Arabidopsis thaliana: one gene and its partners. The protein of the gene in region 1 interacts with the protein of each later gene in a pairwise test. Each region holds a gene or a part of one and is shown in the gene's direction. Other genes may lie near its edges. The genes, in order: BEE1, AT4G29100, RSL2 and AT4G30180.

The links.
Region 2: the proteins of BEE1 (region 1) and AT4G29100 interact in a two-hybrid assay, tested with the Arabidopsis thaliana proteins (one large-scale study listed by BioGRID).
Region 3: the proteins of BEE1 (region 1) and RSL2 interact in a two-hybrid assay, tested with the Arabidopsis thaliana proteins (one large-scale study listed by BioGRID).
Region 4: the proteins of BEE1 (region 1) and AT4G30180 interact in a two-hybrid assay, tested with the Arabidopsis thaliana proteins (one large-scale study listed by BioGRID).

Annotation. Positions count from the first base shown.
Region 1 is NC_003070.9:6,328,548-6,334,768, forward strand, and holds BEE1 (BR enhanced expression 1), read left to right. Parts: upstream 1-2,850; 5' UTR 2,851-2,916; coding exon 2,917-3,273; intron 3,274-3,376; coding exon 3,377-3,502; intron 3,503-3,603; coding exon 3,604-3,669; intron 3,670-4,099; coding exon 4,100-4,168; intron 4,169-4,452; coding exon 4,453-4,530; coding exon of another isoform or gene 4,531-4,572; exon of another isoform or gene 4,573-4,942; coding exon 4,943-5,029; 3' UTR 5,030-5,309; downstream 5,310-6,221. Other genes in the region: AT1G18390 (Serine/Threonine kinase family catalytic domain protein), read left to right, coding at 116-772, 873-1,388. UniProt on the Arabidopsis thaliana protein: Positive regulator of brassinosteroid signaling.
Region 2 is NC_003075.7:14,338,273-14,345,937, forward strand, and holds AT4G29100 (basic helix-loop-helix (bHLH) DNA-binding superfamily protein), read left to right. Parts: upstream 1-2,692; 5' UTR 2,693-2,867; coding exon 2,868-3,196; intron 3,197-3,431; coding exon 3,432-3,810; intron 3,811-4,080; coding exon 4,081-4,161; intron 4,162-4,792; coding exon 4,793-4,858; intron 4,859-5,017; coding exon 5,018-5,083; intron 5,084-5,351; coding exon 5,352-5,411; intron 5,412-5,566; coding exon 5,567-5,611; coding exon of another isoform or gene 5,612-5,653; exon of another isoform or gene 5,654-6,105; coding exon 6,106-6,303; 3' UTR 6,304-6,741; downstream 6,742-7,665.
Region 3 is NC_003075.7:16,237,994-16,243,250, reverse strand, and holds RSL2 (ROOT HAIR DEFECTIVE 6-LIKE 2), read left to right. Parts: upstream 1-2,081; 5' UTR 2,082-2,198; coding exon 2,199-2,738; intron 2,739-2,831; coding exon 2,832-3,137; intron 3,138-3,245; coding exon 3,246-3,311; intron 3,312-3,442; coding exon 3,443-3,508; intron 3,509-3,604; coding exon 3,605-3,685; 3' UTR 3,686-3,888; downstream 3,889-5,257. UniProt on the Arabidopsis thaliana protein: Transcription factor involved in the regulation of root hair elongation. Does not seem to be a direct transcriptional target of RHD6 and RSL1. Involved in the regulation of root hair elongation in response to low phosphate.
Region 4 is NC_003075.7:14,765,724-14,770,271, forward strand, and holds AT4G30180 (uncharacterized protein), read left to right. Parts: upstream 1-3,060; 5' UTR 3,061-3,304; coding exon 3,305-3,781; 3' UTR 3,782-4,048; downstream 4,049-4,548.

The DNA of each region.
Region 1 (6,221 bases):
AGATTCGATTTGATTTATGATGCTCTTCGCACCATCAAAAGATATAAAATTCTACTTTGGCAAAGTTATGTTATGCTCTGTTGTTTCGTTAATCATCCCGCTCAAGTTTTAACAGATTACAAAATCCATCTCAGGTGCATCCGCTGCGGTCGTAGGATTAATAGCTGCGAGCATATTTTGGTATGTATACCATCGTAGAAAAACAAAAAGTTACAGAAATTCTTCAGCATTGCTTCCAAGAAACATCTCATCAGATCCATCTGCAAAGTCTTTTGACATCGAGAAAGCAGAGGAATTATTAGTCGGAGTTCATATTTTCTCTTACGAAGAACTTGAAGAAGCCACTAATAACTTCGACCCATCTAAAGAACTCGGTGATGGAGGCTTTGGTACTGTCTATTACGGTAAGCTTAAAGATGGACGAAGCGTAGCCGTTAAACGGTTATACGATAACAACTTCAAAAGAGCAGAGCAATTCAGGAATGAAGTTGAGATCTTAACGGGTTTACGCCATCCAAACCTCGTGGCTCTCTTTGGATGCTCCTCAAAACAGAGCCGGGACTTACTGCTAGTGTATGAGTATGTTGCAAACGGCACGTTAGCTGATCATCTACATGGTCCACAGGCAAACCCTAGCTCACTTCCTTGGTCTATTCGGCTCAAAATCGCTGTTGAAACTGCCTCTGCCTTGAAGTATCTCCACGCCTCCAAGATCATCCACCGTGATGTTAAATCCAACAACATCCTTCTCGACCAAAACTTCAATGTCAAGGTCAGTAACTCACACTGGTTATTACTCAATCTGGTGGGATTTTATCGGATCATAATCTTAACTTCTTTCTGTGTTTTTTTTACTGTTTTCGACATTTTAGGTTGCGGATTTTGGACTCTCTAGACTGTTTCCTATGGATAAAACGCACGTATCTACCGCTCCACAAGGAACTCCGGGATATGTCGACCCGGATTACCACTTATGCTATCAACTCTCAAACAAAAGCGACGTGTACAGCTTTGCGGTAGTGTTAATGGAGCTTATCTCTTCACTTCCAGCAGTCGACATCACAAGACCGCGCCAAGAGATCAACCTCTCGAACATGGCAGTCGTTAAAATCCAGAACCACGAGCTCCGCGACATGGTGGATCCGTCACTTGGGTTTGACACGGATACAAGAGTGAGACAGACGGTGATCGCTGTCGCTGAGCTGGCGTTCCAATGCTTGCAGTCGGATAAAGATCTTAGGCCATGTATGTCGCACGTGCAGGATACGTTGACGAGGATACAGAACAATGGATTTGGTTCGGAAATGGATGTTGTAGATGTGAACAAGAGTGGACCGTTGGTTGCACAGTCTCCAGATAGTGTCATTGTGAAATGGGACAGTAAGTAAAATTAGTCGCACGGCCACTAACATTGTATGTGTTTATTATTTGTATGTTTAAAATTGTCAGTTAACAGTTAGAGAATGGTGTTCGTGTTCTGTATTAGATGATATTTTTGGGAATGTATATAATGATGATCTTGTTCCGATTCCACCTAGAGAGGGACCGTAACATACAAAACTTCGTGATTGGGCCTGACCGGACTAAATCAGCAATTTTGTATTGCTATTTGCTGCCAACTGAAACTATTTTTTTATTAGTGGTTAATTTTATTTTTTTACGGAAAAGGTAAAAATATTTGAGACATCAAAATAATGATGGTAATTAAGTAACGCCAGCTCAGCGACGGCGATGACTATCCACCAATTTAACGTCAGAAGAATATATATATGTATATTGAGCTTATCTTCTGTTTCCAATGTAAGTGGAAAGTCCACTGCTGCAATCACAATGTAAGACCTGCATCTATGAAGTTTTAATGAAAGACACTTTCAGAGAAAAAAAAAAAAAACTTCTGTTTCCAAAATTTCCTAATTAAAGCACACCAATTTGGGCATGGATGCTTTACTACTTCTATTAATGAACAAGTTAAAGAGTAAGTTGTCTTGAATGAATGAAATTGCATGTGAATCAAATCCCTCCACCATACATAATAGATAATCTATAGTAATGGCCCAACTAAACATTGACATTTGTTGCAACCTAACTCTTTCCTAAAAGGAAGAAAAAAAAAAAAAAAAAAAAACTCTTTCCTAAAACTCAATGTGTTTGATCATCACAAGGACAAACAAAGGAAATCTCTAGTATGCCGATTAAAGTGAAAATTTGTCTTCACCAATATAAATAATTTGGTAACTTAAACTTTAACTAAAGATTCATAAATTGGCGTCAACTTATGTAAAAGAACCTTCATATATACTTTCGTTTATCTCCCTATATTTTTATACATACACATATTTATAGTATTTTTGTCGATTAATTGGCATTGGCCATTTGGAAGTTATAATTAAGTTGGCAAATGGATGTGATCTCTTACCCTATACACCTACATAAAAAACCCTCCATGCAAAACATTAATGGATGTTTTCATTAAAACAAGTTTTGATATCAACTTAGTTTGACTAGCTACATCCATTTCAATATTTTCTTCCCAATATTAATAATAAATTTAAAGATAGACCACTAGTTCTTAACCTCACACCAAACTGACTAGAAATGTTCTTCCCCCTTGCAAACAGAGAAAGCCTAATGGAACCCACGACCAAACATTGGTCCTACTTTTCCTTGTTTGGACATATCTCCCCGACACACAAATCCCAGAACGTTCACTTGCCCACGTGGCTCTCCCTTTATTTCTCTCTTTTTCTTTCTTAATTTTCTCCACATTTCTTTTTCTAAAATCATAAATTAAATTAATAAAAAAATCCAATCGAACAATATAAAAGTCTCAAGTTTTGTATCAACCAGTCTAAAGAAGTTGTCAGAAAAAAAAAAAAAAAAAAGTGTCAAGAAGATCATATCTCAATTCATTATATTATGGCAAATTTCGAGAATCTTTCTTCTGATTTTCAGACAATAGCCATGGATATATATTCTTCCATAACTCAAGCTGCAGATCTAAACAACAACAACAGTAACCTTCATTTTCAAACATTTCATCCTTCCTCTACTTCTCTCGAATCGCTCTTCCTTCATCATCATCAACAACAATTACTTCACTTTCCCGGAAACTCTCCAGACAGTAGTAACAATTTCTCTTCAACTTCAAGTTTCCTCCATAGTGATCACAACATCGTCGATGAGACCAAGAAGAGAAAAGCTTTGTTACCTACTTTGTCTTCATCAGAGACTAGCGGCGTCTCCGATAATACGAATGTTATTGCCACTGAAACAGTAATTGATCTCGAAACCCTAGCTAATTATCTTATCATTTTCATAACTTATCATTAAAAAGTTCGTTTAAAATAATTACTTTTATTGTCTAAAAAATATCTAGGGTTCTTTGAGAAGAGGTAAGAGGTTGAAGAAGAAGAAGGAAGAAGAAGACGAGAAAGAGAGAGAAGTTGTTCATGTGAGAGCCAGAAGAGGCCAAGCCACTGATAGCCACAGCTTAGCAGAACGGGTAAAATTGCTTAAATTGTCTATATAAATTCATTTTTTTTATAAACGTGGTGTATTCATTTAAATTTATATACATGTCTACACTCTATATCAAAATTTCAGGTTCGGCGAGGGAAAATAAACGAGAGATTAAGATGCTTGCAAGATATGGTGCCCGGATGTTATAAGGTAATAATGCAAAGATAAATATAATAGTTTAACATTTTCAACTTTTCATTACTTCTTTTTTAATATATTTGTAATCAAAATAGAAACTAATGGCCATTAAACAATAAATAGCATATGAAAAGGTCATCATCGGCATTAATTGTCACTAATTATACTTGAATCAAATTTAAGCATTTTATGATAAAAGTGATACTTTTAGTTAAACAAGAACATATGTATCCAAAAGTATTTTTAACATGCATGAGTGTGATTTTAGCTTTTTTCTTTGATACCGCTCATAATATTTTCCGAAAATTGTTCTTCGGATTTTTTTTTGTTTTTTTTGTTTACAAAGAACTCAGAAAAAAAATTGTAGAAAAAGTGATGTGATTTTCTATTGATTTAGTGGTGCTTACTTCTTATAATGAAAGTGTATGTTTGGTGGGTGCAGGCTATGGGAATGGCTACGATGCTTGACGAGATAATTAATTATGTCCAGTCTCTACAGAATCAAGTCGAGGTAAATAATTTAAGTTGTAATCATAAACTACATATATCAATAAGACTTTGTCTTCTTGTATTTTGGAGAAAGAAAAAAAAAACTAGAAAATGGAGGTTTCATGAGATGGGAGGTTCGGTAAATACCTACTTTAGTAGTACTTTCCGAAACACGGCAAATCTTAGATATTCGAAAATTACAAAAAAAAAACGAAAATCTTACCACACACTTTAAAAAACTTCCAAAACACAAGCTTTAATTTTATAAATTACTCAATTTTGTTTCATGTTTTTTGTGGATTTCAGTTCCTCTCGATGAAACTCACTGCAGCAAGTTCGTTTTATGACTTTAACTCAGAGACAGATGCAGTTGATTCCATGCAGGTACTAGAACATTCTAATAATGTTTTTCAATTCTTAAGATAAGCATATATATAATTAATTAGTGGTAGTCTGGTAGAGATGTTGTAATGGGTCCGGTATGTTTTGATCGAGTCGGTTCTACAAAGATTTATTCAAAAATACAAGTGTTTGTAGTTTAGATTCAATCTTATTAGACTATAATATATGATCACGCGGACTATATGACCCGCAATTAAAATATGTTCGACAGGTCAAATCCAGCCTTTGCATAATTGATCTTGTATGGTTTATTGGTTTAAGTAGTCTCTTTTTTTTTGGCATTATATTTGCATGGTTTAAGTCTAACTAGTTGTTGTTATGACAATTACTTTATTTTAACGTGATAAAGTATTTCTATTAGTATTGAATAATATGAATGGAATACAATTGGCAGAGAGCAAAGGCACGTGAGACAGTGGAGATGGGGAGACAAACAAGAGATGGGAGTCCTGTCTTCCATTTATCAACATGGTCCCTTTGACTTTTGTTTTCTCTTTTCTCTTTTCCTTCTTTTTTATTGTTTTCGAAATTATTCTTCTATTTATTTGGATGCGATATGTCATATATACGACCCAACTTGGGATAATATTTGTAATCTGTATACTTGTAATTTCGACGATATAAATTTATTGGTGACTTATAATTGTCATGTAAATATCTCAGTTGTCCTCTCCCTTTTCGCTTTGCTATTTCGTTTGCTTGGCACCTTTTTCCTTTTCCTCTTATGTAATTGTCCTCTTAAGTTATGAAATGATCAGAAATAAAATTCAACAGAATTTTTTTATTTTGTTTCTGCAAATGAAGTTATAAATCATGGATGAATTAGCTCATATGTCAAAGTGTTGATGAGTGAATTGACGATGATGGGAAGAGAGAAATCAATTGTAAATTGTATATATTACCAAATCTTCAATGAAATGTGATTAGTCTTTATAACAAAAAGAAATGAGCGTTACCAGTCGGTTTAAATATTGATTTTAGTTTATTAATTTTAGGGTCGAGAGTTCTTAGTCTGATTACAGACATGCATGTGCTTTTGATGTCTAGAGTTCCACTTCACTTTCCTACGTAAAGTGGGTTAAAAACGGCTTCGGCTATAGAATTACTAAAAATGAAGATTAGTTTATAATATAAAACGATATGTTCTTGTTAAGGGATTATATTTCCATTCATATGTAATTTGCTTTTGGTTACTAAAAACATTTTCCTTTTTCAGCGAGAAAGGCATAGTTACATATACGATAAACTGGAAGAGGCAAGTTGCGCAAGGTTTGGTAACGAAGAGGAGTTATGGAACCAAAGAGACTTTGTCGGTGTAAATTAACAAAAACACCCTTCACTTCTGTAGCTTTCCAAAGACAATGATGTGTGTCTCCCAAACCAAAAACAGAGACAAAATAGTAAATTGTGATGCGAAGCCTATGGACGTGTTTTACAGACGAACAACCAATCTCTTGAGACTTCCTTCCTCTTTTGTGGTCTCTCTTATTATCCATATATGAATATCTCTTATATATTTCATATTTTTTTCAAAAATAATTCTAATAGCGACGGTTCACTTCACAGGATCTTACGGATGTTGCCTATTCATAATCTTTATGATTGATAGAACAATTCAGATATTTGTATGATCGTATATATAAAGAAAGTGAGGGTATAATAATACACTTTTG
Region 2 (7,665 bases), on another chromosome or scaffold:
GTTCATTCTTGTATATTTTTATAAGATATTTAGTTATATTATTTATTTGAATGAAGAAAGAAACAAACAAAAATGTAATATTTTGAGATGTCTAAGGAGTATTAAGATGTCCAGACTAACTTTAAATTTTTCTCCGAAGATTTATTTTGAGATTTTTTTTCGTTTTAATATTTTTGATCAGTTTATGACGATAATAAAAATAAACGAAACTTTTCTTAAATCTATAGTTGGGAAAGTGATTGATTTTCGTAAAAACCATTTTCCAACTAATATAACATATGATAGGAAAGTAGTCAGAAAAATCTTACAAAAATGTGCATGGAAATGGTGGAATTTACAGGTAGCATTACACATAATCATTTCATCATTAAATGCTAAGTTTATCCACCATATTGGCTTGGTTACAGAGTCTAAATAGAAATTGCAAGAGTTACATCCTAGTTTTGTCAAACTTTGGACTACACTATTACAGTTTCGCCTCTTGTAAAGAAAAATCGTTGAAGAGAATTTCGATGACCAGTTGTGAATGTCCTGGACTAAGTTAAAGATCTCACTTCTAGTTGTAGTCCCGGTAATAAATACGAAATATAGGATTGTATTGTATTGTATGTTTTCTGACTCGTATATTACAAGTATATGTAAGGATTTCTTGGAAATTGAAATCACTGGGAAACAGAATATTAGGGATCTCCAAACCCTAGGACATTGATTCCTTCGAGATTACTGGTCTTCTTCGTTGTAGGCAAAAAAAAATGGTATTTATTGTTAATTTGTATTTTTCTGATCATGCTTGGACAAAAAAAATGACTCGTTCAGGTTAGAATTTAAAATTAAGTGTATGCGTCATATGACACAATGCTCTCGTCATCTTGTGTCTAACAGAGTGAAATAAAGAACGAACAATTGTTTGTATACACACAAATACAATCGCACCTACATGTGCACATATTTTATTACGCTTATCTATAGAAAACTGTTTGATACATTTTTTCATTCTAAAGTAAATACACAATCCAAAAAATACTATGTCATGTTAAGAATGTTTAGTATATCTATTTATTTTAGGACAAGGAACATTTAACATATAGTAAACAGTTTTAACAAAATTTCTCTGATTTGAAATATATTTTTTATATTATCAGTAAAAAGAAAACTGTAAAGGTAATTATAGTCGTTGATTAAGATTATACTTAGTTTTTTAAAATAACATGTTTTAAAAATTTTGCAAAATAAGTTTTTTTTTTTACATGTCTCATAATTTTTGTCCTCAGTTTATGTTAAAAATATTTTGTTATTTTGATACTAACATCTTCCATACGCTGAAAACATCTTTGAGAATATTTTTCAAAACACAATATACAAAAATCCACAGTGACTTTATTCCACGATGAAATGATATCAAGACATATATGTTCTTACCTTTACCTTTCAACGAAAATGAGAGAAAAAATATATATATATAGTATCACTTTTAGAAAATGTTTTTTTTTGCTAATTAATTATTATATAAAAATGTTGAGAGCAACTTGATCATATATGTAATAAAGTCGCAGTGAAAAAAAAAATGTAATAAAGTCGCATACCGACGTTGTGACTCGTTTTTATGTAATTGATTAGTTAAGTACAGAGTTCGTTAGATGTATTTGCATTGTTACAATTACAGAAAACCCTACGCAACACAATTCAGTACTTTTTACGTCAGCAAAAATAGAATCTTTCGTTGAAAATAATACCAGAATCGTTCTTGTCTTTAATTTTCTTACCTTTTTGTAATTGGATATGATTTTTGACTATGGAATTATTATTATTTTATTCTATAAAATTATAGTTTTTATTATTGGAATCATTTATAAATGCTATTACTCAGTGTTCTTTAAAGTCCATACTAACGAATTCAAGTACTTATTTAACAAAACAAAACAAACAAATACTAATAAACTAAAAGTACAAACATTACTATGTTATTAAAAAAAGCATATAGCTGCGTGATTTTAAAGGTATATGTGACATATAATACAACGACGCCGTCGTATTTTATTGAATTTTTTTGTCACTTTTAATTAGTATACAGTGAGGAAATAAGCAAAAAGAAAGAAAAAAATATTGTTGGCTCGGCTAGTACCTATAAATAAAAACACTAGTATTTGGCCCAGGATATAATCATTGCAAGTTTAGAACTAGTTAGCTAATCTAAACCGTTAGATCAAAGAAGCAATCTTACTAATCAGAAAAACAAAATTCAACAAGTTACAAGAATGAAAAAAATAGGGATAAAAAAAAGGATAATTCATTTACATTCGATCAAAAGGCGAATGCATAGATCATAGATGCAAGACACTTGTGAGTTGTGATATAACCAAAAATTTATTTAATTATATGTAATATATATTCGAAAAATTTATACACCGTATATAAAATATTCGAATAATCCTTTTCTTTGATTTAAAAATATTTTCTGCTTGTTTTCTCAACTCATGTATTAATTTAAATAATAAAAGTAGCTACCACCTTTCTCTGCCCCACTTTAAGATAAAGCTAAAGCATGGAAAAAAGCATGGGAAAAAAGTAAATATATGATATACAATCAAATAAATCTAAAAAAATAGAAAAGAAAAATTAAAGGAACGAAAAAAAGAGGGAGGAAAAAGACAAAATTAAAAAACAAAAATAAAAATTCCAAAAAAATTAACATCACATGTTATCAAATGAGATCAAAATTTAAGTTAGTTTTGAGTTTTCTCTCTCTTTCTCTTCTCTAAAACTACTTAAGCTAAAGAATCAAACACTTCTCAACGTTTCTCCAAAGCCTCTGATTAGTAAACACATAAAGAGATCTATAGAGAGAGAGAGAGTAGAGATAAAAGGTGATGAATAGAGGTGTGTTGGAGAGTTCGCCGGTTCAGCAGCTGATGGCAGCCGGAAACCCTAATTGGTGGAACGTAAGCGGCGGCATGAGGCCACCACCACCGTTGATGGGTCATCAGCAGGCGCCGTTGCCACCACATATGACTCCTAATAACAATTATCTCCGACCACGGATGATGCCCACTCCCTTCCCGCACTTCTTGCCATCTCCGGCGACTTCTTCTTCTTCCTCTTCTTCTTCACCGTCTTTGCCTAATAACCCTAATCTCTCTTCTTGGCTTGAAAGCAATGATCTCCCTCCTGAGTCTTGGAGCCTTAGCCAACTTCTTTTGTAACTATCCCTCTATCTCTCTCCCTCTATAAATATTCCAAAATGAAATATTCTCTATACGCACATGACATGATCTTGTGTTTACTTACTAGTTCACTCTTTGTTTTCTCGTGTGTTGCTACTTAGTCCTAATTACCTTTTTGTTATACGTATATACGTATATACATGTATGTGTTTGTATTTTAAGTATCAAACAAACAATCTAATATTTTGGATATTTTCTTTGTGAACTTAGGGGTGGATTGATGATGGGAGAGGAAGAGAGATTGGAGATGATGAACCATCATAATCATCATGATGAACAACAACACCATGGTTTTCAAGGGAAGATAAGATTGGAGAATTGGGAAGAACAAGTGTTAAGCCACCAACAAGCTTCCATGGTGGCTGTTGACATCAAACAAGAGGGTAACATTAACAACAACAATGGCTATGTCATATCTTCCCCGAACTCACCTCCTAACAAATCTTGTGTTACAACAACTACCACAACAAGCCTCAATAGTAACGACGATAACATCAACAACAATAATAATATGTTGGATTTCTCTAGCAATCACAATGGTCTTCACTTGTCAGAAGGGAGACACACTCCTCCGGATCGATCCTCTGAGGTAACACTTTTTCCACATCTCAGAGATTTTGATAATATACGGAAAAAGCTCGGAAATAATATCTAGTTTTACACATAAATTAGTAAACACATCAACTACTATGAAAAAGTGAAATCTAAAACGTCATTTAAAAAGATCAGGACAACATATTTTATTTTAAGGTTTGGATCTAAATTCAACACGCAACCAGGATGAGTTTTGCTCTGAATTTTTTTTGATTAAATGACTAATTGATCTTTGTTTTGTTTGTTATCTATATATGTGATGCAGTGTAACAGCTTAGAGATTGGTGGGTCTACTAATAAGAAGCCAAGGCTCCAACCTTCTCCTTCGTCACAATCAACCCTCAAGGTAACTAATTGATTATATCAACGAAACTTTGGATAACTTATATAACGTTTTCTGTATATAAATTCCCTCCCTGACATCATACTAACAAAACAAAAACACAAACACAAAGGAGAACAGAAGAAGCAAACAAAACAGAATGGGCACAGAATAAGCTGTGTGGTTTTGTGTTTTGTAACTCTTTTGTTCTCTCCTGTTTTGTCTTCTTCTTCATTCTTCAATATTCCTTTCCTCTCTTTATTTCATAAAAATCAAACTTAAATTAATAAATTTCAACATTCTCCTTAGAATTAGACGACACTATATGTAATAAATTTTATTTTATAGAATATGGACATTTTGAGAGATTTCAAAGTTCTGTCAAAAAAAAAAAGAGATTTAAAAGTTTTGTTTTTTTCTGTAACTTGTTTTGAAACGTAGAAATGGAAGAGTCGCATTAGACATTGGATTCAATAATATCATGATAATTATATATACTAGTGAAAGTAAAATAATTGTTTATCACTTGTACATGCTAAGTAAGCACGTTTTCTCTATGCATGGTAATTAGTAAAAATAATATGACCACACATGCACATATATATAGAAAGCTTTTTAATTGATGCTATTAATTAATCTATGGTGGTAATTAAAGGTGAGAAAGGAGAAACTAGGAGGCCGAATCGCAGCGCTTCATCAGCTAGTATCTCCATTTGGAAAGGTAAAGATCGATTCCATTAACAAATCAAATTTATTAATGTCGTCTAATATTCCTCTATCAAATCAACTTTTAACATTAATTGTGGAGATTTTTTTAGTTTCATTCTTGTTAATCTAAAATCTAAATCATTCTTCATCCCTTTTTACCCATCTTTTGCAGACTGACACAGCCTCTGTCCTGTCGGAAGCTATTGGATACATTAGATTCCTTCAGAGTCAAATTGAGGTGTGACTCGTCTTTTCCAAACTCCAAATATTCTCATTCAGTAAAATAAAAATAATGCTTATGATTACTCCGTTTACCAAAAAAAAAAAGAAGAAAAAAAGGTTGTGATTACTGAGAAATAAATTACAGAATAAAGCATAATGATATTATATAAGAAAGAATAAAGATAGTAGTATAAAGTTTTGTTCTCTCCATGTTAAGTAATATTTGATTGATGTGATTATATATAAAGTATTTATGACTTTTTGCAACTGTTGCACTGTTGCAGGCTCTGAGTCATCCATACTTTGGTACGACTGCCTCGGGGAATATGAGGCACCAACAACATGTAAGTAGCAAATTTTCGTATATATACTGATATACACAAACAAATCATCATGCTATCGTTTTATACCCTTAACTTCTTCTTTTTCGATAACCTACACGAAACTTTTTATACTTATATATTATCTCTTAAGTCTTAACTATGGTTTATATGAATAGTTGCAAGGAGATAGGAGTTGCATATTTCCTGAGGACCCTGGTCAGGTACGTCCATTTTTTCTTGGTCACTATACTTTTAATATATAATTAGAGTCACTATACTTTTTATTGGATCAATTGAATCCAAATCTAAAAAATGTGGACAGCTTTAGTTTCCAAAATTTATCCTTTTTTTTCTTTTGTTTTTTTTCTTTTCTACTGTTTTCTTTAAAGTAAAGTTGGATTAATATTAAAAGATGCAGCGGCCAGCTTTTTTTTCACCCTCCCTTACATTATTATAAACCAAAAAAGTTCGTTAAAACCAACAAAGCCACTAAATTTATTTAAATATCAACTTTTTCTCCTTACTTGTTTTCTTCATCTAAGTGAAATTCAAATTCCTTTGGCGGGGTTTTATATATGCTTTTCACTAGGGGAAATTCAATGATTTTTTTTCTTATCACCTCTTTATATAGGTGTTAGAGAACATGTGTTTACTTTTTTTGTTAATCAATGCTATATATCATGATTGTTTTTTTTTTTTTTTGATATGGTTTTAGCTCGTGAACGATCAGTGCATGAAGAGAAGAGGAGCTTCGTCGTCATCTACGGACAATCAAAATGCAAGTGAAGAGCCTAAGAAAGATCTGAGAAGTCGAGGTTTATGTCTTGTCCCAATCTCATGCACACTCCAAGTAGGCAGCGACAACGGCGCGGACTATTGGGCTCCAGCACTTGGCTCCGCCGGTTTCCATTGAGCCAATGAAATTACGCCACGTGGAATTCCAGCGTTAGAGAAAAATGATATAACATCACGAGCAGTCAGTCTACTGAGAAAACAACAAATTGAGTTTCCAAGGCTGATTGCTCATGATGCTATACAAAGTTCTTCGTTTAAAACTTTGCTAGAGAATTTGCGTCTGGCGTCTGATGAATATGCGTTTGGCGTTTCATCATTTGATGCGTTATCAGATGATATGACCAAGTGATCAATTTATGTTCTTGCTTTAGGAAACTGTTTGTTTTCTTTTACCGGTTAATTGTAATTTGTGGTTAAGTACTTATTTTAATTACTTCCACGTGGTTTGTATCGTTATAATTTTGCTATTACTTATAATATGTCTATTGTGTGGGATATATACGACATGCAGACCATTAAAATAAAAAAGTGTGCCGGAAAATATCGATATAAGTTACTTCGTTTGCCTTTTTCATGCGTAGTTCTTAATTCACGTAAATGATCATCCACAATGAAAAAAGAAAAAGAACGAAAAAGTTCAGAAATTATGAATCTTATTAATTATTATTGATAATTATTTTACTTCACTCCACCATATGTGTGAACTAGTGGAGCCTTGGAGGATCACTAACAAAGAAGAAAATAAGAAACAAGATATATCATCACTTTTTGAGAACTTGCTCTTCATTTAAACGGTTCATTTCTTCTCTTTGAAGTTACGATCATCAAAGAACTTCTTAGGGTTGCTCTCAAAAGCCTCCCTCTAAACGCTTTGTCGTCCACCAGATCCAGGAGCAACCATTGTTTTACCGATGTCGGAAGTGCTACCAGAACCACCGCTTCCGCCACTCGTACCAAAATTCTTGGCTCCATCAGCTTTGGTGTTCTTGGCGTCCATGGCTTGATTTTGGGATTGGAAACGATTATAAATTGAAGGTTTGGTTATTTTGTGAATCATGAATTCGACTGTTGAGACTTAGAAAATGGATCGTATATAGACACCAAGTTGATCTGATAGAATGATAGTAATTTGTGAGTTGTAACAACACGAAATAATGGTCAAATTGGCATGGAATGTAATTACTAATTACTGATGTTATTTCCATGTCAATTTGTAACAATTTTCTCGTAAACTAAAAACGCTCAATACAACAGACACGGCCCATCTCTTAAGCCCAACCAAATAATCTTTGTCCAGTTATCGCTTGGCTCCCTTATTCGATGCGTTTGCCTTACGAGTTTTGACATAACACGCACTTTTTTAATACGCATGTGGTTCGAGTAACGCCGGTTCAGTTTTGTCAATTAAAATCTATAAGACTATAAATACATCGTTTTGGTAGAGTACTATTCGGATCAATAATTATGCATTGTTTTCTTA
Region 3 (5,257 bases), on another chromosome or scaffold:
TGGTTGACTCAACCTAACCAATTATTACTTAATATAGTTAATCCAAATAACTCAGTATCATTCTTTCTCCCTTATTTTAAAAACATTAATATGATGCAGAAACTGTCACGTTCAACAACCAGGTCTCTGATTCTCCCATTTCACATCCCTTTCTCTCTCTCTTTCATTCTCATGAACTCTTTATTTTCTGCTACACAGTTATTTTATCCATGGAACTTGACAACTTAAGCAACCAAAGACTTCGCGATTCTTATTTTAATATAAAATAACTACTAAGTTGTCAAGGGCGTTAGAGGAAGAGCTTTTGTGTTCTTAGTTTCGTAAATTAGATGGTTAATTTTTAAATGTTTCATCAAAAACACAATATCAAAAGAAAATAATAATAAATTTAAACAATATATGTAGATTAAAACTTCAAATCACAAAATAGATGGGAAAAAACCGGCCGGTTTTTGGGTCACTACAAGTTGGCGTTTTTCAAAGTATAGGCTTGATTTGTCATTTGTTTCTAATTTCGCATCAACTTGACCTAAAAGTGAATTACGCTTAATGTCGAAATATTCCATTCCTTAGTTTATTTCGGTTTTGATATAATAATTACAACTAAAAATTAGGATAATCCAAGTATTGTCATAATACACAAACTGACAAACGCAATAATTTTCTCTCGTAAGTCGTCGTACCTCTTTAATCCGTTATTGATTGGTTCAAGGTTAGATTTTTACATGATTTAATCATCGAATAGACGAGAAATATGTCTAGCCGTCTAGGTCCATAGAGTATGCATCATTTTGTAATCTATTTTAATCACATTAGCACATAAATCTAGTCAGTGCATATTCGAAAAAAAACACAGCTGACAACAAATATAGAAATTGAAAAAAAATGTAAAAGTAGAAAGAGACAATGTACATAAATCTATATCTTTGTGTTTGTGTTGTATAGGTATTCAGTATTCTAGTTAGATAATTTCTCTTTAGAAGTCGTATAGCATATGGATATGCTTCTATCTAAATATAATATATTTGAAATTTGTAAGGATTTTGGATAAGTTTTGATTTTTTTTTCTAGTCAGCGGGTGAGTGGGAAAATATCATTCTTTCTACTCAGACCCAATAGTTTCTCGATTGTTTGTTACTTTGTAAAGTAAAAAATGCTTAATACTTTAATGCGTTGTATAATTATGCAGAATTTTAGTTTAAGCTATAAATTATAATACACTTATAGCTAATCAATATATAGGAATATTCTTACTATATGTAGAATATTGGAGAATTTTTTTTTTTACTATTAAAATAAAAATAAGTCTTGCTTATATCATGGCAGGTTGAACTATATGGGGACCTAACTACATGTCATTAGGGGAAAAACATTCATATCATAGGTATCATATGACGTTATGATATGAAGTTTTTTTTAAGGTGGATCAACACTTGTGAATTGTATTTACTCGATACTCAACATCAAAACTCGCGATCTCAACGGATTGGCGCAATTAGAAAGCAGTTTATGGGGTCTAACCGTAAGTTCAGTGTTCCCAAGAATTTGAATCATAGTTGTGTGCAAAAAAACTCATTAATATAAACTATACGTTCATGAGTTTTTAACACATCTACTATTTCATCGAGTGAGTTTGCAAAAAACACTTTTGCTAAGAAATCTGTTTATCTCTTATTACTCGGATGCTAACGAAACATGGAAGTCGATAAAATTATAATGAGCTAAGCTAAGAGCTCTTCCAATTTTGATCCTAAATATGCAGTGAATACGGCCACCACAATCATTTCTCATATGAACTAGTATATCAACCAACTATAATCTTGTTTTTAACTTAAAACGATGTATTTAACATATATAAGTGAAGCCATTAACAAGCAGAAATGCAGAATCATAAACGACAAACGACAAATATATATTAAACTTAATGTTCGATGACCAAGTTGCAGAGAGCCCACCATAATTAGCTGTCCATATCTAATGGTATCCCAGACTTGGTTATTTACAAATTAATTAGAAAGATGATTAACTAGTGTCATTATGTGTTGACATTTATTTATCCACTATCTCTCATGTTCTCTATATATACATTCCAACTCCTCTTCCTCATTCCCTCACTTCTCACAAGACTTCCAACTAACAATCTTCTTAATTAAGATTAATCTCTTAATTAAGACGCTTAGTTAACAAAACATATAAAAATGGAAGCCATGGGAGAATGGAGCAACAACCTCGGAGGAATGTACACTTATGCAACCGAGGAAGCCGATTTCATGAACCAGCTTCTCGCCTCTTATGATCATCCTGGCACCGGCTCATCCTCCGGCGCAGCAGCCAGTGGTGACCACCAAGGCTTGTATTGGAACCTTGGTTCTCATCACAACCACCTTAGCCTCGTGTCTGAAGCCGGTAGCTTCTGTTTCTCTCAAGAGAGCAGCAGCTACAGCGCTGGGAACAGCGGATATTACACCGTTGTTCCACCCACGGTTGAAGAGAACCAAAATGAGACAATGGACTTTGGGATGGAAGATGTGACCATCAATACAAACTCATACCTTGTTGGTGAGGAGACAAGTGAGTGTGACGTTGAGAAATACTCTTCTGGAAAGACTCTTATGCCTTTGGAAACCGTAGTGGAGAACCACGATGACGAGGAAAGCTTGTTGCAATCTGAGATCTCTGTGACTACTACAAAATCTCTCACCGGCTCCAAAAAGAGATCCCGTGCCACATCTACTGATGTAAGTCTTTAATTTTCGAACTGGTTGGCAATTAGCTAGAGAGATCACATTTGGTTTAGTGACTAATATAGAAACGGTTTGCCATGGACTCAGAAAAACAAGAGAGCAAGAGTGAATAAGAGGGCCCAGAAGAACGTAGAGATGAGTGGGGATAACAATGAAGGAGAAGAGGAAGAAGGAGAGACGAAGTTGAAGAAAAGAAAGAATGGGGCAATGATGAGTAGACAGAACTCAAGCACCACTTTCTGTACGGAGGAAGAATCAAACTGCGCTGATCAAGACGGTGGAGGAGAAGACTCATCCTCTAAGGAAGATGATCCCTCAAAGGCCCTCAACCTCAATGGTAAAACAAGAGCCAGTCGTGGTGCAGCCACCGATCCTCAAAGCCTCTATGCAAGGGTAAATTGCTTTGTTTGTTTCCCACAAAAAAGATAAAATATCAAATTTTTATGGAAGATTATGTTTCAAAAAATTAATTTGGTTTTTTATTATTTTTTTGTCGTGCAGAAAAGAAGAGAAAGGATTAACGAGAGACTAAGGATTTTACAAAATCTCGTCCCCAATGGAACAAAGGTAAAAAAAAAAACTCATGCAAACGTTTAAACATGCAGAAGATATGGCTCTTTTACATGCAAATTCATTAATTATACAAGAAATTGTTAATAAAGATTCTAAACATTTACAATTGCTTAAATACGTAACAGGTCGATATTAGTACAATGCTTGAGGAAGCAGTTCATTACGTCAAATTTTTGCAGCTCCAAATTAAGGTAAGCAAGGGTTTTAAATACAAATCGTTTTTTTTTTGTACGTTCAATTGTTATATGAATATGATCTAACTAATATTTTAAAATATAATTACGCAGTTATTGAGCTCTGATGATCTATGGATGTATGCGCCGATTGCTTTCAATGGGATGGACATTGGTCTCAGCTCACCGAGATGAAGCAGAAAACTTGTGATTTTAGTTGGATATTTTCTCTTATATATAACCAAAAATGTAATATTCTTTTTCTTTTTTAATATTCTCCGCCTTCGGACGAGTTCGATTATAAATTCTCGTACGATGTTCAAATATGAGAGAAATGGAGAGTCACGTTCGATTTTTTTTATACTTTCATTTTCTTTTATATCACATATTTACATTTCAATTCTTATGTTTCATCTGTTCAATCGATAGTTTTAATACTTATCAGGATCATAAGATCTATACCTTAAACAGTTTACACTCAATCTGATCACCGTTTTATTTAATGATCAAGGGACATATATGATTATTTTTAATCTGATCACCGTTCGAAGAATACCTAATGAATGGAGAGTTATTATTATAATATTAAAATAAAAAATAAAAAATGAAGAGGTCTGACAAACGAATGAAGAAAGGTCTGACAAAAGAGGTAATAGTTGAAAATGTGAATGTGCTAATAATAACTTAACAAAGTAACTTCTATTTAAGAAATGTGAATGTACATCATTTTGGTTGAAATGTGTGTGATATTTAATATTTAGGCGGAATTTGTTTTCATTTTTTTTAGGCTTAATTAAAATGGTAAGTTCATTCCAAAGAAAATCCTTTTTCACTAGGAGTAAAACCCTATTTTACAAAATTAGTTGTGATGCGAAAAACAAATGCTCATCAATTAATCAATGCACTCATTTGTGAAGGATGAAATATCAAATATGACCACTTAAAAACTTCGGCCGCAACATTTTCTTTCTCACACGTATATTCATGAATGAGACCAATTCATACTTTATGTTTAGTTTATAATTTTACAATGGAATATTCAGTACTAATTTTGCGTATATGATTTTCCACTGTCGGATTTATAAAAAAGTATAATTGTTCCCATGCAATAGCTGTGTTTAGACCTTATAGTATATAAAAATAACAGTTATACCTTGCCAAAAGTTCGAATATATGATATATAAAAGGATATTAAATTAGTTTCTTGAGATATCTATCTAATAGTCCAAAGCATTTAAAAGTGGCTGGAATAGCATATCCAACTTATTTCCCCACTAAAATATTATCGCAATCAATCATATTCATGGCAATCAATATCAGATATTTGATTTTTTATTTCTGCTTAATTGATGGATTTATGACAAATTAAAACTACTGTTGCGAAGAAAAAAATTACAACTACTGTTCTACAACTTTATCTATATTTTGAACGGCCAATTTTAATAGCAATTATGAAACCCTTATAGCATTGAAATCTAATGAATATCTAATTTTATAGTATTTCAGTCTTAGAATTTATTGAAAAACCCATCAAAAACAACAAATAAAACGAAAAAAACTGTACTACTTCTAAATGTGTCTCATAGAGAGGGTGATAAAAGTTGCATTGCTTAGTGCCTAATCGATCGATCAAATAGTACATGTAATCAGTACAAAACATATATAGAATTAAGTACCATTCTTTTTGCCTACCATAGTATATAGTAACCAAAAACTATGGACAATACTTTCAACTTGAAAGTTTCAAGTTTCAACGAGTGTTTTTTT
Region 4 (4,548 bases), on another chromosome or scaffold:
TGTTCCTTTTTTACTAAATGTTAAGTTAAAAGAGCTATTTGAAAAACAAAATAAAATGCAGAAAAAAAAAGGATGTGAAGGAGGATGCGACTCGTAGTTGCAATTTCCACCAGATACAAGGAAATCTTTACTGCGTTTCCCCTGTCCCATTCTTAGTTTTTTATTACATTATTTGTACAACACAATAGTTTAATTTATATAAAGATTCCTGCCAAATAGTTTGACATTATGATATGCGTCCTTCGTTTTTAATTATTTCTGAACATTATGTTAAATGCCCTTCGTTCTTGTTTAAATCTTATATATATGAATGTTTTATTAACAAGCCAACAAAAATAAACGTGTGTGTTACATAATAATACCTAGAGAGCTAGACATTAAAAAACCTCTATACGTATATGGATGAAACAAATGATACAGATTGTTAAGCCATTTAGAAAATCCGTGGAAGTGCAAAATGGTTGAAAATGGGTGCTGGATTATGTTTATTTTTTGGTCTTAATCGAGAAAAATATAATAGTTATCTTGTATTTTATTCGTATGAAGTCTCTTTTACTATATTATCATCATATCATGGTGGATTATACATTTTTAAATATATTTAAGGGAACTAAGCATAAGTGATATGTTAAACCTCGATCCTTTTTAAAGTAACTTTTTATCTATCCTCTAAATTTTACGTAATGCTAAAATTTTGATCACGAAGACAGGACATTACATATGAGATATATAGCCATATAGGCAGTGTTCTTTTCTACTCTCAATAAACGAAGATGTTGTAGAAAGAAATGTTAAAGTGAGTGCACGTGGAGACATTTGCGAAGAAAATAGCTCCAAATTAAGAATACAAACAAAACACTCGAATTCAAACCCACATGAGATGTGTCCCTCCCAAATCCCAATCCAAGCCATATCTTTTTCTCCTCTATCTGGGTCCGCTTCTCATATTATTGTTGCTTACACCTTTTTAATTCAGTTTAACTATTTCTTTTTAAAAAACTTATATAAAGAAGAGAAAACAAAATTTAAGAACAGCACAAACAAGTCATAACATGCCATCTACAATATTCGATAGAAATCTCCACAGACCTTGTACAATTCATTCTGACAGTTTTGTACGATTTCTTTGTGGTTCATACTGCAGACAAAATAGTTCTATACTATTTTAATATTATTGGCATTAGTTGGTTGTATTCATTATTGTTCCTTTATATATCTTTTTACGTAAAGATACTGTTGAATAATTACGAATCTGGTTTTACCTAGCTTGATTGTGTGATTGGAAAGAGTTACATTTAATTCGGTCATTTTTTCAACGTGGATTGTCAAAGGTGGAAAACCATTAAGCAAAATTCCAAGAAACTTTTATGATTATATGCATTATTGTTCAATGTCTACTATAGGTGTGAATGTCTAGTATCTATTTTGGTATCCACATCTATTAGTTTGCATCTCAATTTCTTTCTCCTCTTAGATTATATATATATATATATATATATCCAATATATATATATATATTATTTCGTTTGTTTTTAACTAGAAAATTCCTCTACCTTTATGTACTTTTATCTACTTGTATTTAGTAAAGTTTATAGATTAATTAATTTCATCTAGATGGGTTACCATTAACACATGTTTTCCACATTCAATCAAAGGTTATGGGATTGCATTAAAATATAATACGAGAAAACATCACATTCTAACAAAAAAAAAGATTATTTACAAAAGAGAAATAAAATTTCCTTGCTGCATTGATTGATAATCTACTAACCCTTGACTTTTTTTGTGTGGTAGGATAAAGAACACAACAAAACCAATAAGAGATCATTCAGTTTTGGCTATTAACAACAAAAGCTAGTAACGTGTATATTGCATGTATCAAACACTATAAGATTAAGAGACAACTTGTAATGTCTCAACCGCCCATGTTTAGTAGTTATAGATATTGTTTGGACATTTTATTGTTATTATTATTATTATTATTATTATATATATATATATATATATATATCTAAATGATTCGGTATATATTTTAAAAAATAAAAATAAAATAACAAATGAGTAACACCCAGACTTTCATATCATATCAAAGGTGACCTTTTGTGTCAACATAAACTATATTTATCTATTTACAAATCCTATAGGAAAAATTAAAGTCATCTTTAAACCTGGAATGCAATGATGCTTAGAATCAAAAAATCACGACTAAAAGTCCTTGACAAATAAAACGTATTAATAACCCAATTACTGACCACATGCATCTTAACTTTATGTTAATATGCGTAGTAAAGAAACTTGTATCTACGTCATATTAGTTACAGTGGCAGTAAAATTCAGTTTCAAAGATGTTTGTCTTGATATGTTGTACAGATCACCAATTGAACTACCACTAATAATAACTAAATTTCTGTTTAGCAAGTTACCATCTGTATCCAAATATCGCAAAAGTAGTGGGTAGTGAAACCCAAATTCATCACACATGCAGCATAAAAAAAAAGAAGGTCAAATGGTATATATAATATGAGGGAGATCTATATTAAGATAATATGGGTAGAAATGACATAGATTGATCAAACTAATTAGGAGATTGGTCCAAGGACACATACACATGCATACATGTATTATGTATATACAAAGTGTGTGAGTGAGTGAGTGAGAGAGAGAGAGGTTAAGAGGAAGGAACATGTGAAAGCATTAAGAGAAGGTGGGGTTTTGTATTGATGTCTTGTTCTTGGAATGGAGCCACATGGTAAAAGGGTCTCTCAAAGCACCTCTTTAGGGGTAGTTGTGATGCAGCCAAATTAGAGCTCTTGCATGTGACTCCATGTGTTTTTTCTTCCCTCACCCATTATTATTCCCAAATTCTTCTTTTCTTATTTTTCTCTCTTTATTTATGTATATATATATATATATATATATATATACACACTCTCTTTTTGTTTTCGTGTATTTTCTAAAAATAAATGTATTATACAAAAAAACATATATTAGTTGATGATATTCAAATTCCGTTGTTTTTAAAATATTTGTCTAAAAAAGAAAACTACTAACTACGACTTTCAAATAGTCTTGTGTTTTGTACGTGAACGAAAAATAATAACACTCCCAAACATATTACCTCATATATGTATACAAAGAAAATTAAGTTCTACAACTTTACTTTATACATCATCAACGCTTGTTATATACAAACAAACGTAGGACACCGCTCTTCTCTTTCTTTGTCTCTCTCATATTCTAAGTTTGCTATATATGTAACTTTCTCCCTTGTAGACTTTCATTTGCAGCAAAAATAGTTTCTCATATGGAGAGGCAAATCATAAACAGGAAGAAACGAGTGTTTTCTCTTGAACCAAACAAGAACCCTAGTGCAGTTTTCACGAGAAAATACACAAGCCACTTGGTTCCTGCACTCAAGAAGCTCAACATGAACAAGAACTCTTCAAAACAAACCGTGAAGCATGAAGTAGATATGGCTTTGGCTTTGTCTGCTCAAGAATTTGCATGGAGCCGTTTCTTGCTGCAGAAGCTATCGTCCTCATCGAATCCAACCACTACCACTAGTTCTTCTTCCGATGGAATTCGGATTCTTGAAAGACCCGATAAAGAAGGCGGAAACGAAGAAGGAGGGATAGAGGAGAGACTGAGGGAATTGAAGAAGCTTTTGCCAGGTGGGGAAGAGATGAATGTGGAAGAAATGTTGAGTGAGATTGGTAACTACATTAAATGTCTTGAGTTGCAGACGATTGCTCTCAAGTCCATTGTTCAAGATAGTACTTGACTTTTAGTTTAAGTGTATAATTTATAGTTTGTTTCATGTTTTTTTTGTTGTCTTTAAACGAAAATCATCTGTGTTTTTTTTTTTCTCTTGATTTCTTTAAGAACAAGAGCATGTATTATAGTGTTTTTCTTTTTTCCTTTTCTTAATTAATCATGGTTACCGAAATACCTAAAGTACCACACATGGCCGTTTATACGTACATCTTATAAAATTCGATCAAAATCTGATTGAAATTTAAATTATTGGTTGTAATGCCAAATAGACGATGTGCTGCCTAAAATAAAACTCTTATGTTGTCTTTTTTTCCTGAATTTATTATTTTAATGTTATGAGCAAATCTCCAAACTTTAATATTCTAATCATTTTAACCTGACAAACTTTGTGTTTGTGTATATATTTATATTCCTGCAAGTTTTTTTTCTCCTTTAGCGAAAACATATGAACTTTCGACTACAAAAAATCAGATGTAACAAATCTTCAATTAAATAAAAGCTACACATTAGTAGAGATCACCAATATGTTCCAGCTGCAGTAACTACAGGTGCACCATTAAAATGTAAACAAAAATTAGGACTACTGGACTAGAATTACTTTCCAAAAAATTCGATGAATATGAAAAACAAAACGCCGAAATTGTAAATATCTAAAAAGGAGGAAAGTTGGATGACATATGTGTAAACTATGAAAGTCATAACATTGATTTGAAGTCATCATCCATATCTTTGCACGTGTCTCACAGTCACTCGCACGCATCCAAATCTCTCTAT